3 linked regions of the Pelodiscus sinensis genome follow. The protein of the gene in region 3 interacts with the protein of the main gene of each other region in a pairwise test. Links are inferred from orthologs where the notes say so. Each region holds a gene or a part of one and is shown on either strand. Other genes may lie near its edges.

Evidence for each region.
Region 1: the proteins of RBSN (region 3) and EHD3 interact in binary tests that used the Homo sapiens proteins (3 or more experiments, as listed by UniProt). The link is inferred for Pelodiscus sinensis from reciprocal best matches to the Homo sapiens genes RBSN and EHD3.
Region 2: the proteins of RBSN (region 3) and EHD1 interact in binary tests that used the Homo sapiens proteins (3 or more experiments, as listed by UniProt). The link is inferred for Pelodiscus sinensis from reciprocal best matches to the Homo sapiens genes RBSN and EHD1.

What each region holds. Positions count from the first base shown.
Region 1 is NC_134713.1:158,567,967-158,578,073, forward strand, and holds the start of EHD3 (EH domain-containing protein 3), read right to left. Parts: upstream 4,714-10,107; 5' UTR 4,460-4,713; intron 1-4,459. UniProt on the Homo sapiens protein: ATP- and membrane-binding protein that controls membrane reorganization/tubulation upon ATP hydrolysis. In vitro causes tubulation of endocytic membranes. Binding to phosphatidic acid induces its membrane tubulation activity.
Region 2 is NC_134721.1:35,024,939-35,034,727, reverse strand, and holds the start of EHD1 (EH domain-containing protein 1), read right to left. Parts: upstream 4,288-9,789; 5' UTR 4,278-4,287; coding exon 4,217-4,277; coding exon of another isoform or gene 4,193-4,216; intron 1,657-4,192; coding exon 1,251-1,656; intron 1-1,250. UniProt on the Homo sapiens protein: ATP- and membrane-binding protein that controls membrane reorganization/tubulation upon ATP hydrolysis. In vitro causes vesiculation of endocytic membranes. Acts in early endocytic membrane fusion and membrane trafficking of recycling endosomes.
Region 3 is NC_134721.1:20,570,982-20,580,586, forward strand, and holds the start of RBSN (rabenosyn-5), read left to right. Parts: upstream 1-5,227; 5' UTR 5,228-5,388; intron 5,389-6,142; exon of another isoform or gene 6,143-6,353; intron 6,354-8,119; 5' UTR 8,120-8,263; coding exon 8,264-8,426; intron 8,427-9,605. UniProt on the Homo sapiens protein: Rab4/Rab5 effector protein acting in early endocytic membrane fusion and membrane trafficking of recycling endosomes. Required for endosome fusion either homotypically or with clathrin coated vesicles.

The sequences.
Region 1 (10,107 bases), on a different chromosome or scaffold from region 3:
TAACACTGAATGGGGACTTTATTATAAACATTCAACAGTTTACATCATATATTCTGACTCCCTGAACCTCCCAGCATGCAACCAGCTGAAGGCTCCCACCTGGCAATCCTATTGCCAGGCTGAGCTAGCCTCTCAGAGCCTTTTTTCAGCTGTGGAGGGGAATAAAGGGGGATTCAAGCCTGTCCCATATTCTGGCCATGAGAAGAAGTGGATTATATGCCTGAAAATCTGTGACCAGAAAGTGGAAGGAGCCGTACTCTACCCCCACTCCTGGGCCAGAATGTCTGGCTGGGCTCTGAGCAGAGGGCAGACTGTCTGATGAAAAGGGGTGAAGTAATTTACACTTCCCAAAGAGGACGGGGCTAATTCCCTATTCCCACTGGGAGCCCTCAGCTGGTTGCGTGCGGAAGCCTGGCAGAGGCAGAGGGAGTGGCTGGGGAGGCAGGGCCGCGATCGGTGCTAGGAGCCCCACGTCTCCAGCCACACGTCTCTAGCCACCACACCCACCTCACCAGGCTTCTGCATGCAACCAGCTGAGCTGAGGGCTCCCAGCGCCAATCACGGCCCTGCCTCCCCGGCCACTCCTCCCACCCATGCCAAGTTTCTGTCAGGTGCCCAGCCAGAAAAGCAGAAAATACCGGACATTGCACATGTCTGGTATTTTCTGGATTTTTTTTACTGGACAGAGGGGGCAAAAAATGGACTGTCCGGTTGAATACTGGATACCTAGCAACCTTCGAGGTTCAACATCTCCAGTTTTGGCCCTGTCTGGAATTGGGCACAAGCTGCTCCTGGTTTCATTTATATTAGTGATAGAGTTCCCATTGACTTTAGTGGCAAGAGGGGTGGACTCGAAAGTGCAGATCTAGCAAAGATGACAGGCAAAGGAAAACTTTCAAACTTTTCAGACTTTTACTGAAAAGATTCAGTTTGAATTTTGGCAAACAATTTGTGTTTGTTTCTTCTTTAGGCAAACCTATGTTGCCATTACCATGACATCTGTATGCAGGCTGAGAGCTTATGTGAGCTTACATCCTATCCTTTTTATACTTGCCAATTAGCCCATCATAAGACGGGATTTTCAGGTCTCTCCTCCACATCGGTCTTCTCTCCTGAGCCTCCAGTCTCTCTCTCTCCTCCTACTGCCTCCCACTCTCTCTCTCTCTCTCTCTCTCTCACTCTCTCAGCTCTCCTCTGCCTCCTGCTTCTCTCTCTGTCTCTCTCTTTCTCTTCTTCTCCCCCTCCTGCCTCTTACTCGGGGGTCTGTGGAGCCCAAACGGCCGTTTGGGCTCCACACTCCCTGTGCTGCATGAGGAACGTGGAGCCCAAATGGTTGCTTGCGCCACTTGCTCCCATGCGGCAGCCTGGCTGAGCAGCACAGAAGTCAGCTGAGCGCCATGGTAAGAGGCGAAGGGGGGCGGGGTGGTGATGTTCAGAGCCAGGGGGCGGGGCCTGGAGCCACTGTCACGCCACATGTCACCGTACCGCCCCCCTTCGCCTCCCGCCGTGGCACTCGGCTGACTTCTGTGCCGCTCAGCCAGGCCACCGTGGGGGAGCAAGTGGCCGTTTGGGCCCCGCACTTCCCATGCATCATGGGCTGCCCAGAGGGCAGACACTGGGCTACTATATATATGATTTGCCACGTTCTCTTTTACAACACACTTCCGTAACAAATAATTATTGTCAACAATTCCATTTAATTTTAATGAACAGTAACTATAATGGCAGAATCTGTCCCATGCTGGTTGAAGCCTGCTATATTGCATAAGGTATTAAGCACCACAACATATTATGTATGTTCAGCTCTGCTTTTTCCTCCCCCCGCTTCCCCCCCCCCCCGGAACTTGAATACTCTTTGCAGGTTGGTGTATTGAAAACAGAAATAATTTGTTCCAAAAGATCTAGTTTTTTCTTTGGTTGTACATTGTTTCAGACAGGGAAAGAAAATGTGCACCTTGATAGAAGAGAGATTTAATTTTGCACAGTCTTCACAAAGTCACATTTGTATTTCCACCAACTGTAGCATGGAAATTTGATTAGAAAAGACAAATCCAACAGATTTTTGGTGGCCTGATTCTCCTTTCACGGAAGCCAGTTTAAATCCGAAGTTGCTCCATGGCGGACACTGCAGATACACAGCGACCTCCTATTTCAGTGAGAATAACTGGGAATAAAGGTCAGAAATGTGAAGAGGTTCTGCTGTTGCTCCAGTGATTATGCAGTGTACTATCCAATAGGACAGTGGTCACCAACCAGTAGATCGGGATCTACTGGTAGATCGTGGAGCTTCTGACAGGTGATCTTCACTAGTTTGGCCAAGAGGCTATTATCAAGATTAGCACTTCAGCTGCCCTTCTCCCCACTGCTGTGCACCTCCTGCCCTTTGCCTTGAAGCTCCCTCCGCCCCAAGACTCCTGCTTGTGGCACAGAGCAGGGAAGGGACAGGAGGAGTGCTGTTGTCAGGGTGCCCCTTCTCCCATCCTGTATCCTATCTCCACAGAACAGAGCTAGGGAGCACAACAGAGCTTAGGATGGAGGGAGTTTACTGGCTGCCTTTGGGAGTGATGCAAGGGCTGGGCAGCGGTAAGCCTGCCTTAGCCCCACTGCACCACCACCCAGGAGCCACCTGAGGTAAGCAGCGTCCAGCTGGAGCCAGCTCTGAACCCCTGCCCTAGTCATGAACCTAAACTCCCTCCCAAAGACTACACCCTAAACTCCCTTCAGCACCCCAACTCCCTGCCCCAGACTCAGCGCAGAGCCCCCTCACACTCCAGATCCCTTAGCCCAAGACCAGAGTTTGTGCCGCAACCTGCTGCCTCTGCCTGGTGAAAGGGAGGGAAGATGGGGAAGGGAGGGAGGATGGAGTGAGCAGGGACAGGGCCTCAGAGAAGGGACATGAAGTAGGTGAGGCAAGGTATTTGGGTTTGAGGTAGATCTTATATTGCATTTAAAATTCAAAACGTGATCTTGTGCTTAAAAAGATTGGAGACCACTGCAGTAGGACAATAGTTTTCAGCCTGTGGCCCATGAACCCATGGGCATCTGCAGACTACAGCTAATATTTCCAGTAGGGGCTGCACCAACATTTAAAATTGTTTAGGGGGTCTGCAAATCTTTTATTTGGTTGAAATAAAGGTTGAAAGCCACTGCTCTAGAAGTCAGAGAGCTGATTTTCCATTGCCTCTTCAAACACTGGGCATGTCTACAGAGTCTGAATTATTGTTAATTATTTTTTCTGTATTGGCTTTGCTAAAATCATCCAAACATAAGAGACTATTGTTAGGATATAGATATTCAGGCCTGCCTTTTACGGCCTATACTGTAAGAATTTAGGTGTTTTCCTACAGAGGTATAAAACCAAATAATTAAAATCACAGTATTTGTATATGATGGCCTAAGACCTTATTTTCAAACTGGTTTAGGTTAAGAAACCGAGGCATCCATAAGCTGGGAAACCAGTTTTGGCACATTTTTAGCCAGTGGGTTGATAGCTTTCTATTTGGCGAGGACTTATTAATATTTGGGGTTGCAAAATTTGCAATTTGTATTGCTTTATTATTATGTTTCCCATTTCTCTATTGTTTATTTGTATGGTTCTGACTGGTTCTTTGATTGTTTGTGTCTCCTGAATAATTAATTTTGCTGGGTGTAAACCAACTAAGGTGGTGGGATATAATTGGTTAGATAATCACATTTCAATATGTTAAGATTTGTTAGTTAAATTTCAGTAGAATGATTGGTTAAGGTAGACCTGAAATTATTGCTAAATATATTAGGAACAAACAGGAAATGAGAGAGGAGAAAAACAAGGGGAAAAAGAAAGAAAACTGAAATCATGCTTGCTGAAAGCTAACCCCAGTAAACATGGAAGTTTTTGCATCTCCAGTCTTGGGTATTGCTGTTCTCTGTTGACATTAAAAGGACCAGGGAAGTAGAAGGGTGAAGGGATAAGCCCTCTGTAGGAGTTCGGGGGTGCGATCACCCCCTCTCCGCGGGAGAGGGGGGGTCTGCGAACCCTCTGACCCCTTCTTGATCCCTTGTTGGGTCCCGGGTCCCTGCTAGGGGGCCCCTGTCCTGGGTGCGATCACCCCCTCCCAGGGGAAAGGGGGGGTCAGCGAACCTTATGATAGTTACCCGTCCAGGCGGAGTGGGGCGCCGGCCCCTGGTCGGGGTTTCCCCTCTCTGCGGGGTCCGCATCGTAGTTCTCCTTGCTAGGGTCGTTGGGAGTGGGTTGTTCCTACAGGGGAGGGAAGGGGACCCGGTCCCGCCCCTTTTCCGGGTCCCAGCCCGGGGCCCTGGGCGCCGGGGCTTGCTAGTGCCCCGGCGCGGTGAATGGGGGAAGGGAGGATTCACTCCCTCCTAAGCTCGTCCACCCACGGTCGCCAAAAGCGCCCTGCCCCGGGCTCCTTCCTCCCTCCGGGTGCCTCCTGCGGATCACGCCCGGTGCCCCTGAACCTACCCTGGTTCGGCGGTCCGTGGCGTCCGGTGTCCGAGCGAGGTCTCTGGGGCGGGTTCTCTGGTCCCGGTTCGGCCCTGGCTGTCCCGTTCCCTCCTGGTCCGGCACGGCGGGGTCCGTCCGCCGTCTGAAGAGGGGCTGACCGATTGCCAGGGGCAGTGGCTGTCCCGGAGGCCTCGGGACCAACGCCGGGCCGACAGCCGGGCGGCGTGGCGCTTGGGCTCCGTCCTGTGGCAGGGGCCGCCCCTCCGCCGCTGCGAGGAGCTTGCCCCCTGCCCCGTTGGCGGCGGGCCCTTTTAAATCGGCCCGCCGCGCCGGCCGCCACCCAGGGCTCCGCCCCTTCCGGGCACGTCCCGGCGTGTGGCCCTGCCTGGTAGCCGTGTCCCTCCGCCCCGCCCTCGCCGTGCGGGGCCTCGGGGGACGGGCCGTGCTCACGTCGCCGGCACAGGCGCGGGGGTAGTGCCCCAGTCCACCGCCCCCTCCGGTTCGCGTTGGGGAAGTACTGGGGGATCCGTACCTGGCTGCCAGCCCCCTGCCGGCGGGGGCTCCGGCCGTCCCGCCCCCGGGTCAGTGACAGCCTGTCACACCCTCTAACAACTGTCGCTGCCCTGAATCATTCATAATCTAAGTAGAAAAGACAAGCAAATTACCAGTCATCTCCATTTGTTTCTGTGAGAATTAGGAAGTCATGATAACTGAGGGAAGATGACACGTTTCAGAGGGATAGCTGTATTCGTCTGTTTCAGCAAAATACAATGAGGACTCAGGGGTGCCTTAAAGTCTAGCAAATTTATTTGGGCATAAGCTTTCATGGGCTGGAGCCCACACCATCAGATGTGTGGCAGGGATATATATACACATGCAAAGATGGGAGTGTAGCATTACTATGCGGAGGACCAGCTAACGAGGTCAGTTTGGCGAGGGTGGATGCAGCCCATTCCCAACAGTTGATGAGAAGGTGTGAATATCAAAAGAGGGAAAATTACTTTTTGCAGTGAACTAACCACTCCCATAATCAGGCCTGCTGATGGGGACAAAGAGGGTAGTTGTGGCAGCAGCTGAAGACCTGGGCTCTTTAAATCACTGCCGGAACACTGTGCAGCATTCTTCATATGGCTCTGCGAGGAGGTACTCCATGCTCCAGGAAACATACAGGGCTGACTGCGTCTACCGCCGCCCCTTCCACTTGAGGCCCCGTCTCTTCCAGAAGTGCAGAGCTGGCCCACCTCTCACCTTGCCCAGAGGCCCACAGAGGCTGTCAGCTCACCTGACCATTCTCTTTTTAGCCCCAGCCTAATAATGTCAAGTTTGCATATGAATTCCAGCTCTGAATTTTCATGCTGCAGTCTGTTTTTGAAGTTATTTTGGTCAAGTATGGCAACTTTCAAGTCTATTACTGAGTGTTGAGAAAGGTTAAAGTGCTCTCCTATGGGTTTTTGAATGTAGTTGTTTTTGATGTCTGATTTGTGTGCATTTATGCTTTTGCATACGGGCAGTCCGGTTTGGCCAAGGCACGTGGCAGAGGGGCATTGTGGGCACATGGTGGCATATATCACATTAGTAGATATGCAGGTGAATGAGCCCCTGTTGGTATAGCTGTTGTTGTTAGGTCCTATGATGGTGTGGACGGAGTTGGCAACAGGTTTTGTTGCAGGGTTTGGTTCTTGAGTTAGTATATCTGTTGTGTGGTATGAAGTTGGTGGAAAGGGAGAGCGCTCTTTCATTAACAGAGCATTTCTCTAAATGTGCTATGTTGGCAGATGTAGCATGGTATTGAAGGCAAGCCTTAAATCCTTCACTAAGAACGCTGTCAGGAGGCATTTTTGAACAGCTCCCAGCAAGTCAGAAGCTCTGGCACCTTCTACCTGGTGCTGGGTGGTCCATATAACACACACTTGATAGTGAAAATACCCCGACCAAACTCAAGCTGCATTCAAGAATCTTGCAACCAAATTTGTTTTGCATAAACAATTCCAACTCTGCATGAAAGGCAGTCAGTCAATTTATATCTGCTGAAGACTGACTGGGATGAAAGTGGTCCTCTGTGTTGGCCATTTGATACAAAACACAGTCTTTGCATTTGAATAAGAATGAACAAGTAAGGGATAATAGGGTTTTCAGGCTCTTAAATGTGGTTTTCCTTTTCTAGTAGTCTCCAGTGAAGAGTCACCTTAGAATGGCAATGATAGTGTATGACCACCAGTGCTAGTGTTTATTGTAATCACAGAAACTACAAGAGATTTCATAGAGATAACTTCTTGTGAAAGTGGGATCATTTTGTAAGATTGGAGTGAAATTCTGTCCCACTGAAGCCAATAGGCCAAGATCACCCTTATATTTGTATTCACTTATTTCTGTTGTAGCATTCTTTCATGAAGAATATAAAAGAGCTACATTTGATGGTTCCATTATCTCTAAGGGTATGTCTACACTACAAAGTTAATTCGAACTAACAGACGTTAGTTCGAATTAACTTTGATAGGAGCTACACTAGTGCTCCGCTAGTTCGAACTTAATTCGAACTAGCGGAGCGCTTAGTTCGAACTAGGTAAACCTTATTCTACGAGGACTAAGCCTAGTTTGAATTTACTAGTTCGAATTAAGGGGTGTGTAGCCCCTTAATTTGAACTAGTGGGAGGCTAGCCCTCTCCAGCTTTCCCTGGTGGCCACTCTGGCCAACACCAGGGAAACTCTATTGCCCCCCTCCCGGCCCTGGACCCCTTAAAGGGGCATGGGCTGGCTACGATGCCCGTGCCAGGTGCAAGCCTGCCAGCACCCAGCTGGCAGACCCTGCACCAGGCACGGCTCGAGCCAGCCACCCGATGCCCCCCAGTCCTCCCCCTCTTCCCGGGACCAGGCTGGCGGCTCCCGGGAGCTTGCCCAGAACCGCAAGAGGCGGGCACCCGCCTGGTCTAGTGCGGACATCATGGACCTCGTCCACGACCTCCGCACTAGGCACAGGAAAGTGGCCGTCTAGGGCAGGAGAGCTGCCAGCCTTGCCGTCCAGGAGCAGGTGTGCATGAAAATCAAGGTGGTCCACTGAGACCCCCGACCCTGAGCCCTGAGCTTACAATGGCCGTACTGGGTCAGACCAAAGGTCCATCTAGCCCAGTAGCCTGTCTGCCGACAGCGGCCAACCCTAGGGACCCTGGAGGGGATGGACCGAAGACAGTGACCAAACCATTTGTCTCGTGCCATCCCTCTCCAGCCTTCCACAAACTTTGGGCAGGGACACCACTCCTACCCCCTGGCTAATACCACTCCATGGACCCAACCTCCATCACTTTATCTCACTTCTCTTTTAACTCTGTTCTAGTTGTAGCCTTCACAGCCTCCTGCAGCAAGGAGTTCCACAGGTTGACTCTTTGCTTTGTGAAGAACAACTTTCTGTTACTAGTTTGAAGCCTGCTACCCATTCCTTTCCTTTGGTGTCCTCTAGTCCTTCTATTATGGGAACTAATGAAGAACTTTTCTTGATGCACCCTCTCCACCCTACTCATGCTTTTATAGACCTCTATCCTATCCCCCCTCAGTCTCCTCTTTTTTAAACTGAAAAGTCCCAGTCTCTTTAGCCTCTCTTCATATGGGACCTGTTCCAAACCTCTGATCATTTTAGTTGTCCTCCCCTCTCCCACCCTCTCTCTTCCCCTCTCCCACCTCCTTTTCCCAGTCTCCCCCAGTTTTGTTCAATAAGGAGAGATTCTATTTTTGAACACACATTTTCTTTATTTTGTACATCAGGAAGGGGGGCTAGGGAAGGGTAAGTGGAAGGAGGTGAGGGAGAAATGGGGTATGAGCCCCCGATGGGGAGGACTGGGCTGGCTTTGTGGGCTTCTGGGGGTGGAAGCTCTCCTGCAGCCCCCCAATTGCCCGCTCTCCCCAGATGGCAGCCTGCGGCAAGTGCAGCCGGTCTGATGGCCGAGTGCTGTGATGTGCCCAGTGTGGGCACTCAGGGCACTCCAAGACAGGACTGCTTTGCAAGCAGGGCACCCCTGAGAACTGTCTGTCCGGGGGGTGGGGGTCGGGTCCCTTTAAGTACAGCCCTTGGCTAGCCTGAGGCAGCAGCTCCACGCTCTAAGTTCTCATCTGATGCCCTGTCGGCACTTCTTCCGGCCATCCTTAACCCCGGTTCAGGGTCCACTTAATGTGGACATGCTAGTTTGAATTAGCAAAACGCTAATTCGAACTAGTTTTTTAGTCTGGATGCGTTAGTTCGAATTAGCTTAGTTCGAATTAACTAATTCGAACTAAGTTAGTTCGAATTAGCGCTGTAGTGTAGACATACCCCAAGATACTAAATATTTTAGAATAAATATGTTTTTCCCCCATTGGTTAAATATTTTGTCATCTCTGGTTGATTTCTTTTTATGATCTGACTTACTTAAACAAGTAGTTCTTCCAGCTGATCTCCAAATGGATCATGGAAGTTGGATAGTTCACAATCCCGATGGTGATTACCTGTTCTGCACATATATTCATTGTGGCAGAAAATTACCTTGTTATTGTATTTTTTGCAGGTCAAATTTCTTGCCTCAGTTTCTTCCTTAGTTACTTGAGATAGTGTAGAAGTAAAAGTAAAACAAAAACCTTTAAAGCATTTGCATCTCAACTGAAAATGTTTGAAACAGCATGTTGATTTTTTTCACAATTTTCCAATTTCAAAAATGTTTGTGCATTTTTTCTCTATTTTTTTAAATGAGATAAGTCTGAAGAAATCAACATAGTTCTGGTTAAAAAGGTGCAATTTCTTCTACTGGTTGTCTCTACTATTCATGAACTGTACATCTGCAAAGCCATTCTAATATCTATCCAGCTGTTTTTGAGTGGCTGGATTCTTTTGCTCCATAGTCTGGTTTTGTGGTTGTCTTGCTTTTCACAAGCTAAACCAAGGTCAGTCAGGTCCATCATGGTTTCATAGAATCATAGGACTGGAAGGGACCTAAGTGAGGGGAGGAAGGGAAGAGACAGGGAGGATTAACTCTGTGGGGTTACATCTAGACTACATGCCTATTTCAAAACAGTATCTTTCGAAAAAGCCTCTTTTGAAAAAGAGCATCTAGACAACAAGACGATTTTTTGAAAAAGCAGCTCGCTTTTTCAAAAGAGAGTCTTGATGCTCTCTTTCGAAAAAGCCCTGTTTTCATGCAATAGTGCCTTTTTTCGAAAGATGACTTTTGAAAAAAGGCGTTATTCCTCGTAGAATGAGGTTTACCGCCATTGACAAAACCACCGCGTTCCTTTGATTTACTGTCAACAGAACGCAGCAGTAGTCTAGACGAAGGTACAGTTTTTTCGAAAAAACCCTGTAGTCTAGATACACCCTGGGAGAGCAGCTGTTACAGCACACAAACCAGACATTTTTACAAATAAAAGAGGACGAAGAAAGATGCTTCCCCTACTTTTCTCCAGGTGTCGGCAGGAAGTCAGGGTTCAAGCTGCAGAGACAGAATTGGCGCACGAGGAGGAGGCACTGACCAGGGTTATTAGGAAAGTATCGTGCCCTAACTGATACCCAACCCTCTCCGCTTTGCGTCATCCTGCAGGTGAGTTAGTCCTAACTACTTGGAGGATTTGTGAATGAACGCATGTTTTCCTCAAAACAGCAAGCTTGAGGGTTCCCTGATATCTTCCCATTGTGGTCAAAGAAATAG
Region 2 (9,789 bases), about 14 Mb from region 3:
TTGACAGGGTGCCCTCAGCATTTATTTAGCATGCCCCCAGTAGATCTTCCAATATTTGACTTAGCAGATTGACCTTGGCAGCTCCCATCTTCCTGGTAATGTAGATATGCCCTTAGCACAGCCTCTGCCTACAGCAGGCCAGGGTACCCCATAGGCAGCAGCTGCTCCATCAGCGACATGGGAACAATCCCTACTTGAGGCACCCATGGTCAGGAGCTGCTTTTGACCAGGATGCTGGAGCTATCTTTAACTGATTAGAGAATGGGATTTTACATTACAGTGCCTTCTCATAAAAACCAGAGGCTGTGCACCAGCCAGGAACCAGGGATGTAGGGCACTCTCCTGCCATGTAATAGAGCCATCTTCTTCTGTTTCCAAGAGTTCCTGAACCCCCTTCCAGCTATCAAGTACAGGGCCAGATAACTGGGCTCCCAGTTGTAGAGGGAAGCTGCCCTATTAAGATTTTTAAATGAATTATGCACCCTTTTAGAGTTACTAGCCTCTTTGGTATCAAGGAATGGAGTTTTAGAAGTTTAAGTTAACTTGCTTAATGTTACTTTATTTTTCCCCCATTACAGCTTGGGCAAATACAGAGTCAGTTAATATTTGTGGAGGGTCAGTTCCTGTGACAGTTGCTTATGGCCTGTCTCAAACCCAACACATAGCTGGAGGCACCAGGATGGTTTGTTAGGTACAGCCCAGCATTAAATGCACAATGGCAGTTCCTCAATCCTATCTAAGAGTAGAACCCCAGTGATCATGTCTTTTAGCTACTGGACGTCCAAAGTCATGCCTCCAGAGAGGGGGCACTACCTCGAAGTTAGTACAGGGACCCACATGAAGAAAGTTGACAAGAGTCTGGGGGCTGCCAGAAGAATTAGCAGGCTCCCTTGCACCCAGGCCCGCTCTTAGGGCATCCACATTAGGGTCCCACCGCTTGACGGCACTAAACTGGGGTGCCACGCGATGCCCCCCACAAACCCAGACTCCCCTATTGAAGAACGCACTGAGGCAGCGGCTGCAGGTAGGAGGGGCACCGCAAGACTCCTCGCCCCCAGCCCCTCACCTGGGGAGGGCGAGAAGATAAGGGGGCCATGCGTGGCAAAGGCAAATCCAGCCTCGCACCACTCCCCCCCCCCCCCCCCCGTGAGGAAGGCTGAGCCCCTCCCACAGCCACAGGGCGAGGAACCGCGGGACACCAGGCACGGCCCCAGCCACAGAGGGCGCCGCTCGGCCCACGCGCCGCTCACCTGTTGAGAAAAGCGTTGCCGAAGGCGTTGAGCTTGCGGAAGGGCCGGCGCGGGTCGACCACCAGGGCGTTGCCCGGGACGATGCCCTCGGTCTCGCCCCCCATGACGGCGATGAAGGAGTCGGTGGTGGGCTCGGGCCCGATGCGCATGCCCGGGAAGTCCTGCTCGATGAGGTGCCGGATGAAGGTGGTCTTGCCCGTGCTGTACTGCCCCACCAGCAGCACCATGGGCTTGTTCTCCCAGTCGGCCGGCTCCAGCGCCGGGGAGTGGAAGTCGTGGAAGCGGTAGTGCTCCTCCAGGGGCAGCAGCTTGGTGGCGTAGAGCTGCTTCAGCCCCTCCGAGACCGTGCGGAACAGCTCCGGCTCCTTGCGCCGCCGCGCGTCCTTGCTCACCCAGCTGAACATGGCTGCGGGGAGGGGGTGCGTTACAAGTGGGGACGGGGGCGCTACAGCGAGGGGTAGCTGAGCGGGCCGGCAACACCCACCTCTCAGCCGCTTGCCACGGAATGCAACGCCCCCCCCTTCGCCCTAGAGCCTGTTTTTATATGAATAGGTCGTCCCTCGGCCACGCCCCCACAAAGCTGATTGGTGCCCGCCACTGCGACCGCGGCGGCCCACCTATCCTTCCCGCTACGGAGGCGGAAGTAGCTCTAAATTCTTTCGTCTCCGTCCTGAGCCTCACCTAGCCGCCATGATAGTTATGGAGGCGGAAGTAGCTCACAATACATCTCCTGCCCGCTCCTCACTAGCCACCATGACAGTTAATGAGGCAAAGGAGACTCAACCATTAGCGAAATAGCCGGATCCTGTCGTGTTCAGAGCCCGCGGGGGTCCGATCAAAGCCACATTGACAACAGGGGTCGATGTCTCCACCCACTGTGCCTCACCACTACCCTGACTCCCCAATACCATTGTCACTGAATCAAAAACTCCTCACACTATCCACCAACCCCAACACTGCCCATCAAATCAATTCCCAGTAGGCTTGCCAGATGGTTTCACAAAAAATACCGAACCCCACCCTCCTTTCCAAAAAAACTGCAGGGAAAAAATTCTGTTAAAAAAAAAAAAGCCACGTGAAAGGTTATTGAGGGGGAAAAAAAACGGGACCAGGAATTTTACTAGACAGAAGGCACAAATACCGGGCTGTCCAGTTCAATACCGGACACCAAAAAACCCTAATTCCCAGCCCAACACTGCTTACAGAAATGAGGGTTGCCAGCCTCCCAGGATTGTCCTGGAATCAAAAATTAATTATGTTGTGTATGAAAACCTTCAGGAATGTGTCCAGTCAAAACTGGCAACCCTATACCAAAATCAATGTGCCAACCTCACATGCCGATGCTGCCCCTCTAAATCAACCCCCCAGCACTGCCCACCAAAATCAAACTTGGGGCAGCAAGTATTGTAGGCAGGGGGAGGCTGAGCCTTCCCAAACAGCCTGGTGTGCCCTGCCCATGCTTCACTCCCAGCCTTCTTGCTCTTCTAGCAGATCAGGTGGGATGGTGTGGGGGTCAAACAACCTGCTGCACGGATTTGGCCAGTCTTGGGCTGGTGCCCTTCTTGGCACAGCAGTGGAGGTGCTGCAGTGGCACCTCGTTCTCCAGAGTCAGGGGCTCTACAACTACAGCACCCACCCCATCCCGCACTCTGGCCCTGAGGTTAGGGGCTCTGTGGCTGTGGGGCCTGCCCCATGCTGTGGGACTGGAGTCTGGAGCTCTGCAGAGCCCACTCCGTGCTCTGGGAATGGTTGGGGGTGCTGCAGACTCCACGCTCCTTGCCTGCCACATGTTCTGTGCTCCTTGCTTGCTACATGCTCTTGGATGAGGAGGGGATGCTGACCTGGGGAGAGGAAAGCCAGCAGCAGCGGAGGACTCTTGCCTCCAGCAGGGGACAGAAGTGGGGGGGAGCTGGCGGATAGGGAGGAGTCTAGCCTCCCCTAACTGCCAGTCTACTCACCACCACCTATGCAAACACCTGACACTGACCACCAAAATCAACTCCCAAAGTCTATGATGTTGCACAAAAGAGCCAACCCCAAACCCAAATCAACTGACACTGTCCACTGAAATCAACTTGCCTACTCCAATGCCCACCAAAATCAACCCCCAACTCTGGAACACAGCCCACCAAAATCAATCTCTAATCCTGTGACACAACCCACTGAAATTAACCTCCCAACACTAATCACCAAAATCAACTCCCCAATCCTGCCACTGAAATCAAATCCCAACTCTTAACAGTGTCCACTGAAACGACCCATCAGCCTCCTGACTCTATCTCTGTAAGCCCTCTCCACAAGCACCCTCAATACCATTCCCCCAACATTGGCCTCCCAGCCCCTGTCATTCAAATCCACCCAACATACCCCCAAATCCTCCAGAAACCATCCTTCCCAATCCCAGACCTTTTGACGCTATTCCTCTCAGTCACCCTCTGATTCTGCTGGATGCTGCTGCCCCAAATCATCCCCTAAACCACCTGACATCCTCCCATCAAATCCCCTGACATCATCATCTTCTTGACCAGCTAAGCTATCTGGCTATTTGATCCATGGGTCTGATCTCGGGCTGCTGGGAAAAGTGATGGTGGAATACTGGGTAAGCTTACCCCAGTGGGGTGAACTTAGGTGACAAGAAAGAGGGATATCAGACTACATGGGCCTATTGGTTTGATACAGTTTGGTGGGAAGGGAATAATACTGTACTGATCTTGTGGTGTTTCTAAGAAACAGGGAAGAGACGATGAGTGGAGAGAAAGATTAGAGACTCTTAGGTTCCTATTCTAGCTTTTGAGGAGTTTCCCTGCCTGGGAGTGATTCGCGCCCTCCCCCCAGACACTACCATGTTTCCTCCTGGAGAATCCATGCTGGATTTCCATCCATCCATTTTCCTCTTTATCACTGCCTCTGTCTATAGCTCCCTTAAATATATATACACACACACAGTGAGATGGCCTGACCCTCACCGGAGCTGCCCTCCTCCATTTCAGCCCCTTTGGCCACTCCTTTCACCTCCCTCTGCATCATTTAACAGCTCAGCTAGAACCCTGCTTTGTCAATGGGTTCTAGCATCACAGATGAAGTCAGCAAAGTTCTGGAATGAATCACTGTTACGTAAAGGCTTGCTGCTATGCCCCATCACCCAGCTCCTTTCAGCTCCTTCTCCCGGGGCAATTCTGCTCATGATGGCAGGTATCAATGGCAGCCTGGTTAAAGCCACTGGCCATGTGAACTACCTTTCTTTCAGGAAAAATGGAAAGAGCAATCAAGTCCTTTTATGGAGCAGGAGAGCTGGAGACAACAGAAACCACCCAAGGCAATCAGCTGTATGGCAAAACTTGAGATTGGTTGACCCATGTTGGGTGTGAGGTTTCCCTGAGACTGACTGCAAATGCAGGGGCTGGGAGGTTGCTTAGCAAGCTGAGCCTGTGATCAGGAGAGAAAGGCAGCCAGCACACAGCAGGAGCATCAGAGAGACAGAGCTCCTAGGGCTGGCTGGAGAGGCAGGCCTGGAAACTGAGAGAAGGAACACGGCTGGTTGTTTGTTCCTGCTGTGATCAGGGACACAGGACTATATGGACATTCTTTGCAAATAAACAAGATTTCACCAGAGAATACTCCTTAACTTACTCCTTAACCCCCTTCACATACTCCTCCTCTCAGAAACAGCCTGGCAAGACCCACATGTTGGCCAACTCCTTATTCCAAAGGGGCAGCAGGTCAAGTAGAGTGTGATCAAGTGCCCACTGAAGCCACTGAAGAGAGTCCCATTAAGTTGCTGGGAATCGTCAGTCAACATGTGTGGACCAAACCTTTAGTTCATCTTTTGAGGACCGCTTACATAGTTACTCCACACAAGCATTTAACTTCATAAATGGCACTCGCACAAAAATGAGGAAGCTAATTAATGGAAATTAAAAGGTATAGTCACAAAAGTGAAATGCCTGCAAGCTTCATGGAAACTTTTTAAAAACACCATAATGGAGGCTGAAATTGAATGTATAATCCAGATTTAAAAGCATAGTACGAGGACCAAAAAATGCCACTGTGGCTAAACAACAAGGCATCCTTAAAAATTGGAAGTTAAGGCCTACTGAGGAATATAGAAAGAAGCATACATTCTGGCAAGTCAAATATAAGTATAATTACGTAGGCCAACAAAGAATTTGAAGATGAACTAGCAAACGACTGGAAAACTGACATCACAAGCAGGATGCCTGCCAAACATTCAGTGGGGCCACTGGATGATCATTGTGCCAAAGGAGCACTGAAGGAAGATAAGGCTATTGTGGAAGAACTAAATGAATTCTTTGCATCAATCTTCATTGCAGAGGATTCAAGGGAGATTTCCACACCTGAGCCTTTCTTTTTAGATGGCAAATCTGAGAAATGGTTCCAGATTGATGTGTCAGTAGGGGAGGAGTTGGAACAAATTGACAAATTAAACAGTAATGAAACCAGGACCAGATGGTATTTACCCAACAGTTCAAATTTGAAACCGTAGTAGCCTATCACTTACATGGGAAACTGAGAGTAGCTAATGTGCCACCAATTTTTAAAAAGAATTTTAACAAGCTCCAGAGGCAATACTGGCAATTACAGTAAGCCTAATGTCAGTACCAGGCAAACTAGTTGAACCATAGTAAAGAACAGAATTATCAGACACACAGATGAACATGATTTGTTTGTTGGGGAACAGTCCACATGGCTTTTGTTTAGGGTAGTCGTGCTGCGCCAATCTATTAGCAAGCTTTGAGAGATCAACATGTGGACAAGGCAAGGTGGACAATGCAGATAGTGTATTCAGACTTTCCGAAAACTTTTAACAAGGTCCCTCACCAAAGGCTTTTAAGCAAAGTAAGCTGTCATGGAGTAAAAGAGGAGGCCTTTCATGGATCAATAACTAGTTTATGGGTATGTCTACACTACCCCGCTAGTTCGAACTAGCGGGGTAATGTATGCATACCGAACTTGCTAATGAAGCCCGGGATTTGAATTTCCCGGGCTTCATTAGCATAAAGCCGGCGCCGCCATTTTTAAAAGCCGGCTAGTGCGAACCCCGTGCCGCGCGGCTACACGCGGCACGGGCTAGATAGTTCGAACTACGTAGCCATTCCGAACTATCTGTACTCCTCGTTCCACGTGGAACGAGGAGTACAGATAGTTCGGAATGGCTACGTAGTTCGAACTATCTAGCCCGTGCCGCGTGTAGCCGCGCGGCACGGGGTTCGCACTAGCCGGCTTTTAAAAATGGCGGCGCCGGCTTTATGCTAATGAAGCCCGGGAAATTCAAATCCCGGGCTTCATTAGCAAGTTCGGTATGCATACATTACCCCGCTAGTTCGAACTAGCGGGGTAGTGTAGACATACCCTAAGATAGGAAACAAAGGTTAGGAAATGGTCACTTTTCAAAATGGAGAGCAGTAAACAGTTATGTCGCCTAAGGATCTGTATTAGGACCTGTGCTATTCATAGTGCTCTGGAAATGGGGTAAACAGTGAGGCAACAAAACTGGGCAACACGTTGGCAGATTAACTTCACATTGGAGAACATAATCCCAACTATACATACACAATGACGGGATGGAAATGAGCTGTTACCACTAGGAAATAGAACTCGGAGTCACTATGGACAGTTCTCTGAAAAGATCTGTTCAATGCATAGCAGTCAAAAAAGCAAAAAGAATGTGAGGAACTATATAAAGCAGAGAATATCATAACGTCACTAAATAAATGCATGGTATGGCCACACCTGGAATACCGTTCTGATTGTCCCATCCCTAAAAAGATATATTAGAATTGGAAAAGGTACACAGAAGGGCAACAAAAATGAATAGGGGAATAAGGGATGGAGCAGCTTCAGGATAAGGAGAGATTAATGAGTGGGAATTTTCAGCTTGGAAAAGAGATGACTAAGGGAAAATATGATATAGCTCTATAAAATGTCTCTGACTGCCAGAAGCTGGGACTGGATGACATGGGATGGATCACTCTGCAATTGTCCTGTTCATTCTCTCTGAAGCATCTGGTACTGGCACTATCCAAAAGGATATTGGACTAGATGGGCCATCGGTCTGACCCCATATGGCCATTCTCATGTGCTTGCATAGCCATGTGACTGCAGTATCTAACAATCTTGACACTGTGGCTACGTCTAGACTGCAAGCCTCTTTCAAAAACGAGCGTCTAGACTACAATCAGTACTGTCAAAAAAGCAGCCACCGTGGATGAGGTGGGACCCAGAGCTCTGAGCTGCCAGGGGCACTGGGGACACACCAGAGCAATCATCTGCAGTGGCAGTAGGTGCTGAACCCTCCCACAATAGATTGTGGGGTTTCAAACCCCCACCAGTCCCATTCTGTCAAGAGCATTCTTAGTAAAGTAAGGGGTAGGCCATAGGCTTCCATGAATTTTTGTCTATTGCCTGGGACCTTTCCCTGACTTACTAAAAACTACGGGGCTGCATCCCTTGCTCACTGCGCTCACCAACCGCCCTCTCATGGGCTGCTTTCACAGCCAGAGAGCCTGTCAATCTTGCACTGAGCCCAGCTGCACTCTCCATGGCCCCAAGTCACTCACACCTGTCTCTGCTCCCACTCCACCACACCCCTTGACAGGCCCCTATATCTGAATGCTCTCAGACATCCCACTGGCTCGTGCCCTTCAATTGCCAGCCATTCCCCGCCCCACCCTCCACAACCTTCCTATTCCTGCCCCACCCACCAATAAAATATTCGCATGCAGAATTCGGAGCCTCTCCTGGCGGCTAGCATGGGTCTATGCAAAAGTGACCTGTCAGGAAGTGTTGTGCTCTGTGGGCTCGTGGGCCTCACATGTAAATGAAAACCAAACGCAATTAGTAAAATGGGGCCCAACTCCAAACAAATCCCTTTCGTTCCAGGTGCTCCTGGACACCTGGCTCACTAGCGATGGGCAGGGGCTGGGTTACATGCAAGCAGCCAGATAGAGAGGGAATTACCCATTTTCCGCATCCTGTTACTGCCCGTCTTTGCAGGACGGCAGCGCTCCAGATGTGTAGTGCTCCATGGCTCCCCCATGGTTCCATGTCTCTCCATTGCGCCCTTTCTGCATGGAGCATGTACCAGCCCCGCAGCAGGAGCGCACGTGCCAGCAGGAAGGGCACAATGAAGAGACATGGAACCATGGGGAAGCCCCCATCGTTACATGCCTGCAATCTACTGAGAACCAGGACACAGGGGAAGAGAGCCTGGTGGGGTAATCTGGGTCACCAGTCCTTATCTCAGGGTTCCCTGGCCCACTGCCCAACCCCTCCTTCCATCCCTACCCCCACCTCCATTCCTATACCCACCCATCCTTCCCTAACCCCTCCCCACCTCCACACTGCCCATCTCCCTGCCTCCATTCCTATATCCCCCTCACCCCATCCATCCCCTCTTACCCCACCACCCATCCCCACATATACCCTATTCCCCTTCCTCCCTTCCTACACACACCCTGCACTCTCCCACAAATTCACTGAGCTGCGTGCCCCTCTCCCTCAGGAGCACCATCAGGCTGGGCAGCACAGCCCTGGCCACCGCAGCAGAGCCACAGCCCATCCCCAGCTCAGCCTTTCTGAAAGGGTCTGTTGGGGCAGCTTTGCTCCATGGCGAGCCCAGGGAGCCTGGAGTGCAGAGTGGCCGCTCCGGAGAACCAGGGAAGCAGCCGGGTGCAGTGTAACCAAGCCATCCCCAAAGGGCCATGTGTGCGGTGTTGTCAAGACCAGCCCAGCTCATGGCAGGCCCAGGACAGCGCGCATGAGCCAGGGGCCTGGCCCCAGGTCACCGGCACATGCGGGAGCCACTCGCTCAGGGGAAGACCGGTGGCACAGCCCCCAAGCGCTGTGGCTAGGCCCAGGCTACACAGAGCAAAGCTGCACTGCAGGCGCATGGGCTAGGCAGGCTGGGGGCAGGCCTCAGAGGGAGGTGGATGCTGCTCCAGGGGGTGCAAAGGGATGGAGCCGCCGCCCCCACCATTTCATGGAGCGGTCATGTGGTCAGGGCTCCTGGGGCAGGGCCAGCGGGGAGGCTGTGCGGTTGAGTGCGGAGGGCGGGCAGCGGGACGCAGAGTGGCATGATGACATCACTCTGTCATCCCGCAGGAATTTTTTTTAGAGAGAGAGAGAGAGAGAGATAACCATGATAAAATCTTAACCTTATCACTGAAAAAGGCACCAAGGGCACCAACTCTGAATAAATCTCAGCTGGCCCCACCTCAGGAGCAGGGCCAGATTCTGACACTCGGAGGCCCTAAGCTATGTCACATGTGAGAGGCCTCATATCATAAAAAAATATTATTTTCATAAAAAGGACATTGACTCCATAAACACAAAAGCTTTTTGTTCTCACAGGAAAACAGGAGAGGCTATGACATTCTTTTTACACCACGAATAAGGAAAATTCTTTTTTGTATAGAATAAATGAACAAAACAGTTGATTAATTCTGTTAGGGAAATACAACGTTTCTGCAGACTCCATATAAAGTAGATTTACAAATGTTTATTTCAATTTAATTTTTGC
Region 3 (9,605 bases):
AAGGAGCATGGCGGAAAAGGATCTAGGGGTCATAGTGGACCACAAGTTGAATATGAGTCAACAGTGTGATGCTGCTGCAAAAAAAGCAAATATGATTCTAGGTTGTATCAACAGGTGTGTTGTAAGCAAAACTCATGAAGTCATTCTGCCTCTCTACTCTGCACTAGTTAGGCCTCAGCTGGAGTACTGGGTCCAGTTCTGGGTGCCACATTTCAGGAAAGATGTGGAGAAATTGGAAAGGGTACAGAGAAGAGCGACAAGAATGATTAAAGGTCTAGAGAACATGACCTATGAAGCCAGGCTTCATGAACTGGGCTTGTTTAGTTTGGAAAAAAGAAGATTAAGGGGGGACATGATAGCGGTTTTCAAGTATCTAAAAGGGTGTCACAAGGAGGAAGGAGAAAATTTGTTCCTCTTGGTTTCTGAGGACAGGACAAGGAGTAATGGGCTTAAAGTGCAGCAGGGGAGGTTTAGATTGGACATTAGGAAAAAATTCCTAACTGTCAGGGTGGTCAAATATTGGAATAAATTGCCAAGGGAGGTGGTGGAATCTCCCTCTCTGGAGATATTTAAGAACAGGTTAGATAGACATCTGTCAGGGATGGTGTAGACGGAGCTTGGTCCTGCCTTGAGGGCGGGGGGCTGGACTCGATGACCTCTTGAGGTCCCTTCCAGTCCTATGATTCTATGATTCTATTATTGATGCAATCCCCTTTCTGCTGTAAACTTACTACTTTCATACCAGTCCCAGGTGTTACTCCCCAGCTGGGCTCCATCTCCAATCAGTCCTCCAGTTGCTGGCTCTTTCCCAGGGACAGCCCATCACAGTGTCTTGCCAACTCAAGGAAATGCATGGTCCCTGCCCCAGAGAGGTTACAATCTAATGTCCACACACTGTAAATTGATCAGTATAGGCCAGTGGTCTCCAACCTTTTTAAGCACAAGATCACTTTTTGAATTTAAGTCAGTCCAGGATCTACCTCAAACCCAAATACCCCTGCTCCACCCCTTTGCTGAGGACCTGCGCTCCTCACTCTATGAATATGGGGTACAGGGGAGGGGGACAGAGTGACATCAATGCCCCCTGCCTCTCTTGCCCCCACCCTGCATAACAAGCAGGAAGCTCCCGGGGCAACTCTGAGGCTCTGGGCAGTAGCAGCTGGGCAGTGGTAGGAGGGACAGCTGAAGTGCCAGCGCTTGATAGTCTCCCAGCCAAACCAGTCAGGATCACCTGTCAGAGGCTCTAAGATCTACTGGTAGATCCCGATCTACTGGTTGGTGACCACTGGTATAGGCTGACCCCTGCCAGGCAGAACAAGTCACAGGACTAAGGCCTTAGAGCTCAACTCTGCAAATACTTAGGCTGATGACTAATGTGCCTCCTTGGCAGAGAAAGATGCTAACTAGAGATGTGAGACAAGTGAGGTCAGTAGACAAATGTCATGGAAAGGGGAGGTGGGAAAGAGGTTACAGTAATAAAATCAGATGTTTACTCATCTAGGCTGCTCCTAAAACTGGATCTGCAAAAGCAAAATCCCATTGACTTCAATGAGATACACATAGATGCAGGGGTCCACCAGCATAAAAGCTATTGGGGATGTAAGGGATGCACACATCTTGATGTCTCTATCAAATTCGTAATTAAAATATGTAAATTGTATTTATTTGCCACAAGACTGAAAGATGCTAGAGAGTATTTCGTATAATATAATAGTGGTACAACAAGTAAGCTAGTTAAAGAGTTCTCCAGATTGATCCAATTTTCATCTCTTACTTTCTTTTCTCTTACATATGCTCCCTAGACACCTAGGTGGAGTGCCTTAAAAGTGCCTAGATAAATAGAAAAGCCACAACATAGGATCAAAACAGATACGCAGTGAAGTTGGATATCATCTAAATTTAGAAAAAAACAACAAATGGTCCGGTAGCATTTTATAGACTAACGAAACATGTAGACGGTATCATGAGCTTTCGTGGGCACAGCCCACTTCATCAGATGACCGGAGTTATACTTAGTCAACTGTCATGTCTTGCTTTATTAGCTTGCTTTATTAGTGCAGCAATTTACTGTACAGTTTCATTCTTTTCCAGTCCATGTGAACAGAGTTCTGTATTAAAATACTTAGCAAGGACTCTATTTGTAAAAAAAAAACCCACATTTTTTAAATTCTTTTAAAAGAACTGTTCAGGTTCTTAAGAATTTTTGGATCAATATGCCCTCTTAGCTGATTTTTAAACGGGTATTTGATTTTTTAAGGTAACAGTTTATTATATACAATAAAATTTGTTAATAACATGGGGGAGCAGTCTCTGACTGGGGCAATTTTTTTAACAGCACCATAAAAATCTCTCCTCTGCTTTTCAGAGCAAATGGGTTTTGAGCCTGCACTTTCCATGCTAAGCAGGAAAGTGATCATAACTGGGATTTGCATTCATTTTCACAGCTGTTTGATTTTCTTTACATAATTGAACCAAGAGTATATTGTTTTGAAAAGTGGGGAGTAATGGATACAAATAAGAAAATGGGTGTTTAAAATTAAATGAGTTTGTTTATTTATAACACTATTATTCCTGTGACTAAATCAGATCAGTTCTGAGCCTTTTAATTTCCCTTCAGGTTTTTGTAAAATTATAGTTGTCCAACAGCAGAATGGGGTAAACTCAATAATATGAAAGATGCTCCTCTGCCATTTGTACTGATTTTGGGGCCCTATGTGGGCAACAATTTGAAAACACACTCCACACACCTTTCCTTCCCAGCTTCCTTTGAAACATTCATTGGAAAGGGGGAAGGAGACAGTCAGAATGAGATGGTATCTGCCACAAGGGCAAAATATTCAGCCCCTAAACCTGCAGATGGTTTGAGATCTGAGTGTCCCAGAGTAACTGTCATTACCACATGTATCTCACTGTCTGGTCAATTCCCATGGTCACAAACATACATCAGATTATTCTTTCACCAAAGTGCATATTTAGGCTTTTCTTATAATTTCTTGTTGTAATGCAGTCACCCATTACCAAGATAGTTCCCCAATTATCACCTCTAATACCATTAACTCACAAACATCCCACTCTCCCTACCTCTAATATCATCAATTCACAGACACTTACCTTCCTTCCTCCCCCCCCCACCCCGCATCCCCCTCCTGTTCTGCAATGTGATTTGTCCTTTTCATATTTGTTCATTTTTTTTAATTGTATCCTTTGGTATATATGGTTGTGACTACTTTCTTCCACTATTTGATCTGAGGAAGTGGGTCTGGCCCACGAAAGCTCATCATCTAATAAACCATCTTGTTAGTCTTTAAAGTGCTACATTGTCCTGCATTTTGCTTCAGTAAATAAGCACTTCTCTTTTACCTCCAAAACATCCCCTTGCTGCCTGTTTCTATTTATATCTTCCCAACTACCTCATTAGCCTCCCTGCCCAGCGTTTTTTGCTCTATATGCCTGGTTGGGCACCTATCATGGACCTGCCTCTCCTGGTACCACATCTTTGCAAGGTAACACATGGGGAAAGGGTGGGTTATGTAGGTTTACCCCCCATCCCACCTCAGTTTTCTGACAGGGTTCACATCAGAACATGACCCGCAGCATCCTTTTGGCACTATGCAGGAAAGGAAGGGATGGAAGCTGCTTTCAGCTACAGGGGAGGAGGAGGTGGGGAAGGGATGACCTGGCTCATGTCTTTACAGCACTCATCTCTTACTCCTCCAGCCAAGACCACCTCCCAAAAACCTCCTGTGGCTGAAAGCAGCTCCCCTCTCTTCCTGATGATACAGTGTGAAAAGGCAGCTAACCCCTCCAGCATGGATGGTGGATGAACTCCTGGCTTGGGGAGACAGCCCTCAGCTCCACCTCTTCCACCCAAAGCCCTGCCCCTTCCATACCCAATGGCCCCAACCCCTCCTCCCATTGTGGCTGCTGGCCTTGGAGCCCAGGGTTGCCAGGCAGCACAGCCCCAGACCCCCAGCTCCAGAGTGCTGGAGAGCCAGGTGAGCAGCACAACCTCAGACTCCCTGGGCTGCAATGCAGTGCCTGGTTGCTCCCCCTGCCCATGAAGTCCCTCCCCACCCAAGCCGTCAGCCCCAGCACTGCGCAGGCAGTGGACCCAAGGGCACATGCACCACAGTCCCAATCTGCCTGCCCTCACCTCAGGGAACAGGCAGGAGAGCCTAAAGGTAGAGCATGACCTGATGATGCCACAGACAACCCAGTCACCTCTTGTTCCCTGGCTACAGTGAGGGCAAGAAGGAGTTAAGCCTGAAGGCTCTATTGTCTACTTCAGGGATCAGGGAACTGGATTGCAGGGGCTTCAGCGTACCCAAGTGACTCGGAAAGGGGGAGCTAGTGGACAGAGCACCCCGGGCTCCCTTGGGACAGGATGGAATGTGGGGGGAGAGGGGCAGGTGAAAGGAGGGTGCTAAGCACCTGCCTGAGGGGCTGCTGTGGAGCCTGCCTATTTGAGGAGCAAGCAGGATGGAAATCGCTTTCCCACTACGACTCTAGAGCTTAGCTGAGAGGTGGACAGGATCCTCCAGATCCTCCATGTCAGGGCTGTGTGTGGATTTGGCACATGTAGGGCTTGACTTCTCCTGCCCAGTGCCCAGGGGGGAGGGTTCTGGGCTTTTGGGGGGCACCGGCTCCCAGCCAGAGGCAGTGAGAGGGAGGAAGAAGCCTCCAGCCAGGCTCTTGGTGAGCTGAGCCCTCTGACCAAGGGCTGGTTCTGTGCACAGTGGGAGCGGGACGTGCCCTGCCAGGGGAGATACAGACGAGTAGTGGGATGGGAGAGACAGGTGAAGGGGCAAAGCAGTGAGACTACAGCAATGTTCCCGACTTGCTGCCTACACCGTTCTGCTTACAGCCCCAGCACCGTGTGTGATTCCAGGAGAATCTCCGCTTTCATTTAAATGGTTGCAGAGAAAAGCGGAGCCCGTAACTGGAGCGTACCCCGCTAGCAGGGAAACCCGAAAGCAACGGCGCCTGCCCCACGCCAGACCCCCATGATTGCTGGGGCTGGCAACCCTGGAGATAGGGCCTGACAATGCAGCTTCCATAGAGCTCACAGCCCCCACTCCCTAGCCTGCCCCTGCTCAGAGCCCACGAGCCGCCCTGGCCTCTCCTTGTCCTTGGCCCCTCCCCTTTCCCAGCCTTTGCCCCGGCGATCTTCTAAACCCTCCCTTTCCCAGCAGCCACTGCTCCTCGATCCGTGGACTCGACGCTCGGCAGTGGCGCCTCGGTCAAGCCCCGCCCCTCCCTGCTGTCCCGGATGAGCCTGCCCATCTCCTCCCATCGCTAGCTCGGCGCTCGGCCTGGGCTCTAGCCCTTAGCGCAGCTGGGCCGGGCCCGCGGCCCGGAGCCGCCGCCTCGCCTCGCCTGGGAGCCGAGGTGAGACCCGCCCCGGGGTGGGCTCGGAATCCGGCCCGCGGGCCTGCGCTCCGCTCCTCGGTTGGGGCGCGCCCCTGGGTCCGCAGGGCGGGGGGATTCCTCTCCTCTCGCGCGGGACAGGGCGGGGCCCTTGTGGGGAGTAAAGGCGGCCCGGCCCTGGAGCGCGGGACCCTCCCCCTTCTGGCAGGGGCAGCCCCCCCCCGTCGCAGTGGGGTCGGGGGCGCCGCGGTCCTGATGTTGTTGCCAGAGCTCGGCGGGGCGGGGCGGGGCCGAGCCCGCTCCCCGGGGCGGGGCGGGGCTCGCAGGCGGCCACACGTTGCTGGCAGAGCTCCCCGGGCGCGTTTCGTAACGGTCGGGGTGTCCCGTGGGCACTTGGACCCTCCCCCATCCAGTTGGGCGTGGCTGGACTGCAGCGCGTCCCCCTCGGTGCTCCCGCCACAGCGCCCCTCTCAGAGCGTCACCTCCGTGGGGCGGGTGGAGGCACCTGTCGCAGGATTTCCATGCTGAATAGTCTCCCAAGTGCTTCCTAGGAAGCCACTTCGGTGGGTGAAACGTCCCGAACACCTCTTGCAAGTTCCCACGCTCCCCCGAGGTTGACATTAGTCTCTAGGACAGTGTTTCTCAACTCTTTTGCTTTTTATGAAGTGCCCCCTTTAAAAAAAAATTATAAGTACCCCCAGTACCTACCGTTTCAGAGGCAACATTTTTTTCTACCCTTGCAATACATTTGTTTCAACAACTTAAATGTAGCCGGGCAGGCGATGAAATTTTTGGGTGTAAGAAGTACACAAATAATAAAGTGGTGTAAAATTTAAAACAAAATTCAGTTTTCTCCAAATTTCAGTTGTGTTGCCGTACCCTGCAGACTTCTCAGACTTCTCTCGAGTACCCCTAAGGCAGGCATGTCCAAAGTCCGGCCCGCGGGCCAATTGCGGCCCGTGTTCCGGTTTAATACGGCCCCACAGGTAATTTGGCAATATCTATCTTTTAAGGCCCCCAACGAATCCATATGTATTGAGATGAATACATTGTAAAATCTCAGTTAATGTCAGTTGGTCTAAATCAGTTATAAATATATTTGGACACAACATGTATACTTGGTGTTATGTTCCTGTTCATATTTTTTGAACTTAAAAGTTGACAGACAACCTTTATTACCAATAATATGTAATGTACTTTACAATGTTCCTGACATATATTTCAGCTTCCTGGATTTTTTTTTCATTTGGACTTCAGATATGAAAGGCAGAGTGATTTAACACCTGTTTAGATTTGTGATCCATGTGATGAAATGAAAAGTATGCCGTTTGCAATAAACTTTGCATAAAATAGTTAATTTGCATTTAATTTTAATGGTTCAAAGAATGTCAGGCAAAATGGTCGGCCCTCACGCATGTTCACTTCATGAAATCTGGCCCTCTTTGAAAAAAGTTTGGACTCCCCTGCCCTAAGGGAACTCATACCAGTGGTTCAGAAACACTGCTATAAAAAATGAACATACAATCCTACAGTAACGCACCCAATAGTTGTATTTTTAGTACAGTGGAGCCCAAAGATCAGTATGGTTTAACTTCATTCATGAAGGTTTATCCTGGACATTCGAGGAAATTGCCCTCTAAAGTATTTACCTGGAATGACCCAAGTATTTTGAGTCAGACTGACCATTTTTATTTACATTTTATTTTCTTTAGCTTTCTTTGTCATTTGTCATATAAGTTTTCTTCCCTAGCAAAGGATCTTATGAGAAACTTGTGTTTTACACCCTCTAAGAGAAGTTAAGGGGCTGGGGTATAAAAGGAAGGGTCCACTGAATACTTGAGGGTCTCATGCAATATGTGATATGAGGTGAAGTATGATTTAGTCTAGAGGTCCCAGACTAAATCATGAGTATGTATGTGTACCTCTGCGGGTATACGGAAGTCTTCTAGGCTAGGGCATACATCAACTCATTTAGATATTTACATAGTTTAACAAGGTACATAAAAAACATTAGCAAAGTCTGTACAAACTAAAATTTTATACAGTGACTTGTTTACATGGTTCTATAAGCTATATGCCAAAATGTAAGTACAATATTTATAGTTCAGTTGATTTATTTTATAATTATATGGTAAAAATGAGAAAGTAAGCAATTTTTCAGTAATACAGGTTGAACTGCTCTAGTCCGGCTCATTCTGGTCCAGCAACATCCATGGTCCAGCAAGATTTTATTTAGCCAGATGTCCATTTACTATGGGTGTGGCCAAGTTTCCTGCAGTCCCATGAAGTGTGTTAAAGCCCTCATTCTTGGCTCTAGTGTTCTGTGCTGTTGTTTAATTTATCCCTGAATGTCTTCCAAGAGCCCAGTAAACAGTGGAAGTATTGGTAATACTGTTAGACAGTATTGACCTCCTGTGGTTCAGAAAAACCTCTGGTTTGGCACTGGTCAGATCCCCAGGGTACCAGACTAGAGAGGTTCAACCTGTAGTGTGTTGTGGCACTTTTGTATTTTTGTGTCTGGTTTTGTGTCTGGTTTTGTAAGTCCAGAGATTTTAAGTGAGGTGAAACTTGGGGGTAAGGTTCAGAGTCTTGAATGGGTTATAGTAGTCTGAAAAGGTGAGAGCCACTGCTTTAGTTTCTTCAGTTGTCTGTGGAGCAGTGTTCTAGGAAGTAACTGGATCATTAAAAGATCAGATAGCTACTGAGTTAAACTGTTCATCCTGTTTAAAACTGCACTGTGCATCTTTTTCAGATTGCTGTTTTGCACAAGCTGCAAGGAAGAATGCCACTTGCTCTTTGTTAATTCATCAGACATAATGCTACAGAACAGCATATTGCTGTTCCACTGCTGCTAAGTTTTGGAGGACAACAGTATACCACAAGTGCACAAAGCATCATGGCATCAGGCTACCCTCCTCCATTTGATGACTCTGTGGAAGTGAGAGAGGGTTTTCTCTGTCCCCTGTGCCTGAAGGATCTGCAGTCTTTCTATCAGCTTCAGTCTCATTATGAAGAAGAACACTCAAGTGAGGACAGAGATGTCAAAGGACAGCTCAGAAGTAAGAATCATGACAACAGTTTTAACTTCTGCTGTGTAAAATTATGTACAGTGAAATACAGCCGCTCTCTGAGTTACGAACCAACACTTGGTCCGTAACTTGAACTGTTCGTAACTCAGATCCCATAGAGTTACATGGTGACCATGCTGTTTGTAAGCGCAGATCGCCGTTCGTAACTCGGATCAGCATTTATAACCGCTTTGGTCGTAAGTGCGGATGGTCATAAGTGGAGGTGGCCGTAAGTCGGGGAGCGGCTGTATGTTTGTTGCACTACAGATTCCTAAGAGCATCTCAGCTATAAGTCTCACTTCACTAAAATATTGATTAAAATGAGTTAGAAGTGGGGTTGGTTAATGTGTAAATGGATTTAGGCCAAAGAATTTTTGTACAGTTTCCAACAGAAAGTTTCAATAATGTTTTCTAACTTGGTTTCCTAATTTTAGGCAACTAAATAAGCGGCTTGATTTTCAGATACCTACTTTTAAGCGCCCAAGTTAGAAAATGCAGGTGCTTCACTTTTGTGAGAGTTCTCAGTACATGAAGGATTTATATTATTAGAATTAATAACAGTTATGCTTGCAGTTTCCGTGGACACGATCTCAAAAAATAAATTATGGATTTGTCATTGGAATTGAAGGTGGATAACTTGCACATAATTAAAAGTGGGGTGTGAAATTGACAAGAGCCTTGGCTATATTTATAGTGGATTTAATAATGCTGTTTAGGTAATCTATTTTTGTGATAATAAAAGATTCTTCTTAGCTTTTTGTTCATATACACTTCAGTTGTATGTGTTGAGTAAAATGTTCAGAAACAGTCTTGAGTGTTTTCCTGGACAGTTGCTTGTTTTTCCTTAATCTTGAATTTTTATAATTTTTAACTGTAATTGACAGTGCCCCTTAAAAGGATACTTTGTTTGAATATATGGCTTTTAATCTCAATATTTTTATTTAAAACATTGCTTGTGTTACTCTTAGACCATGTTAGATTATTAAATTAGATTTATCAGACTGAATTTTACTTTTCACCACTTTAGCTGCTCATTTGCTTTTAGCCATTCACTCACTTTTGACAATGAAAGTAGACTTGTGTTCTGCTATCTCAGTAGTGTCCCTTCAATTTAAAATATCTCTGACATTTTCAAATTTTTCTTTAATTTGTATTTTTAAGGATGTTATT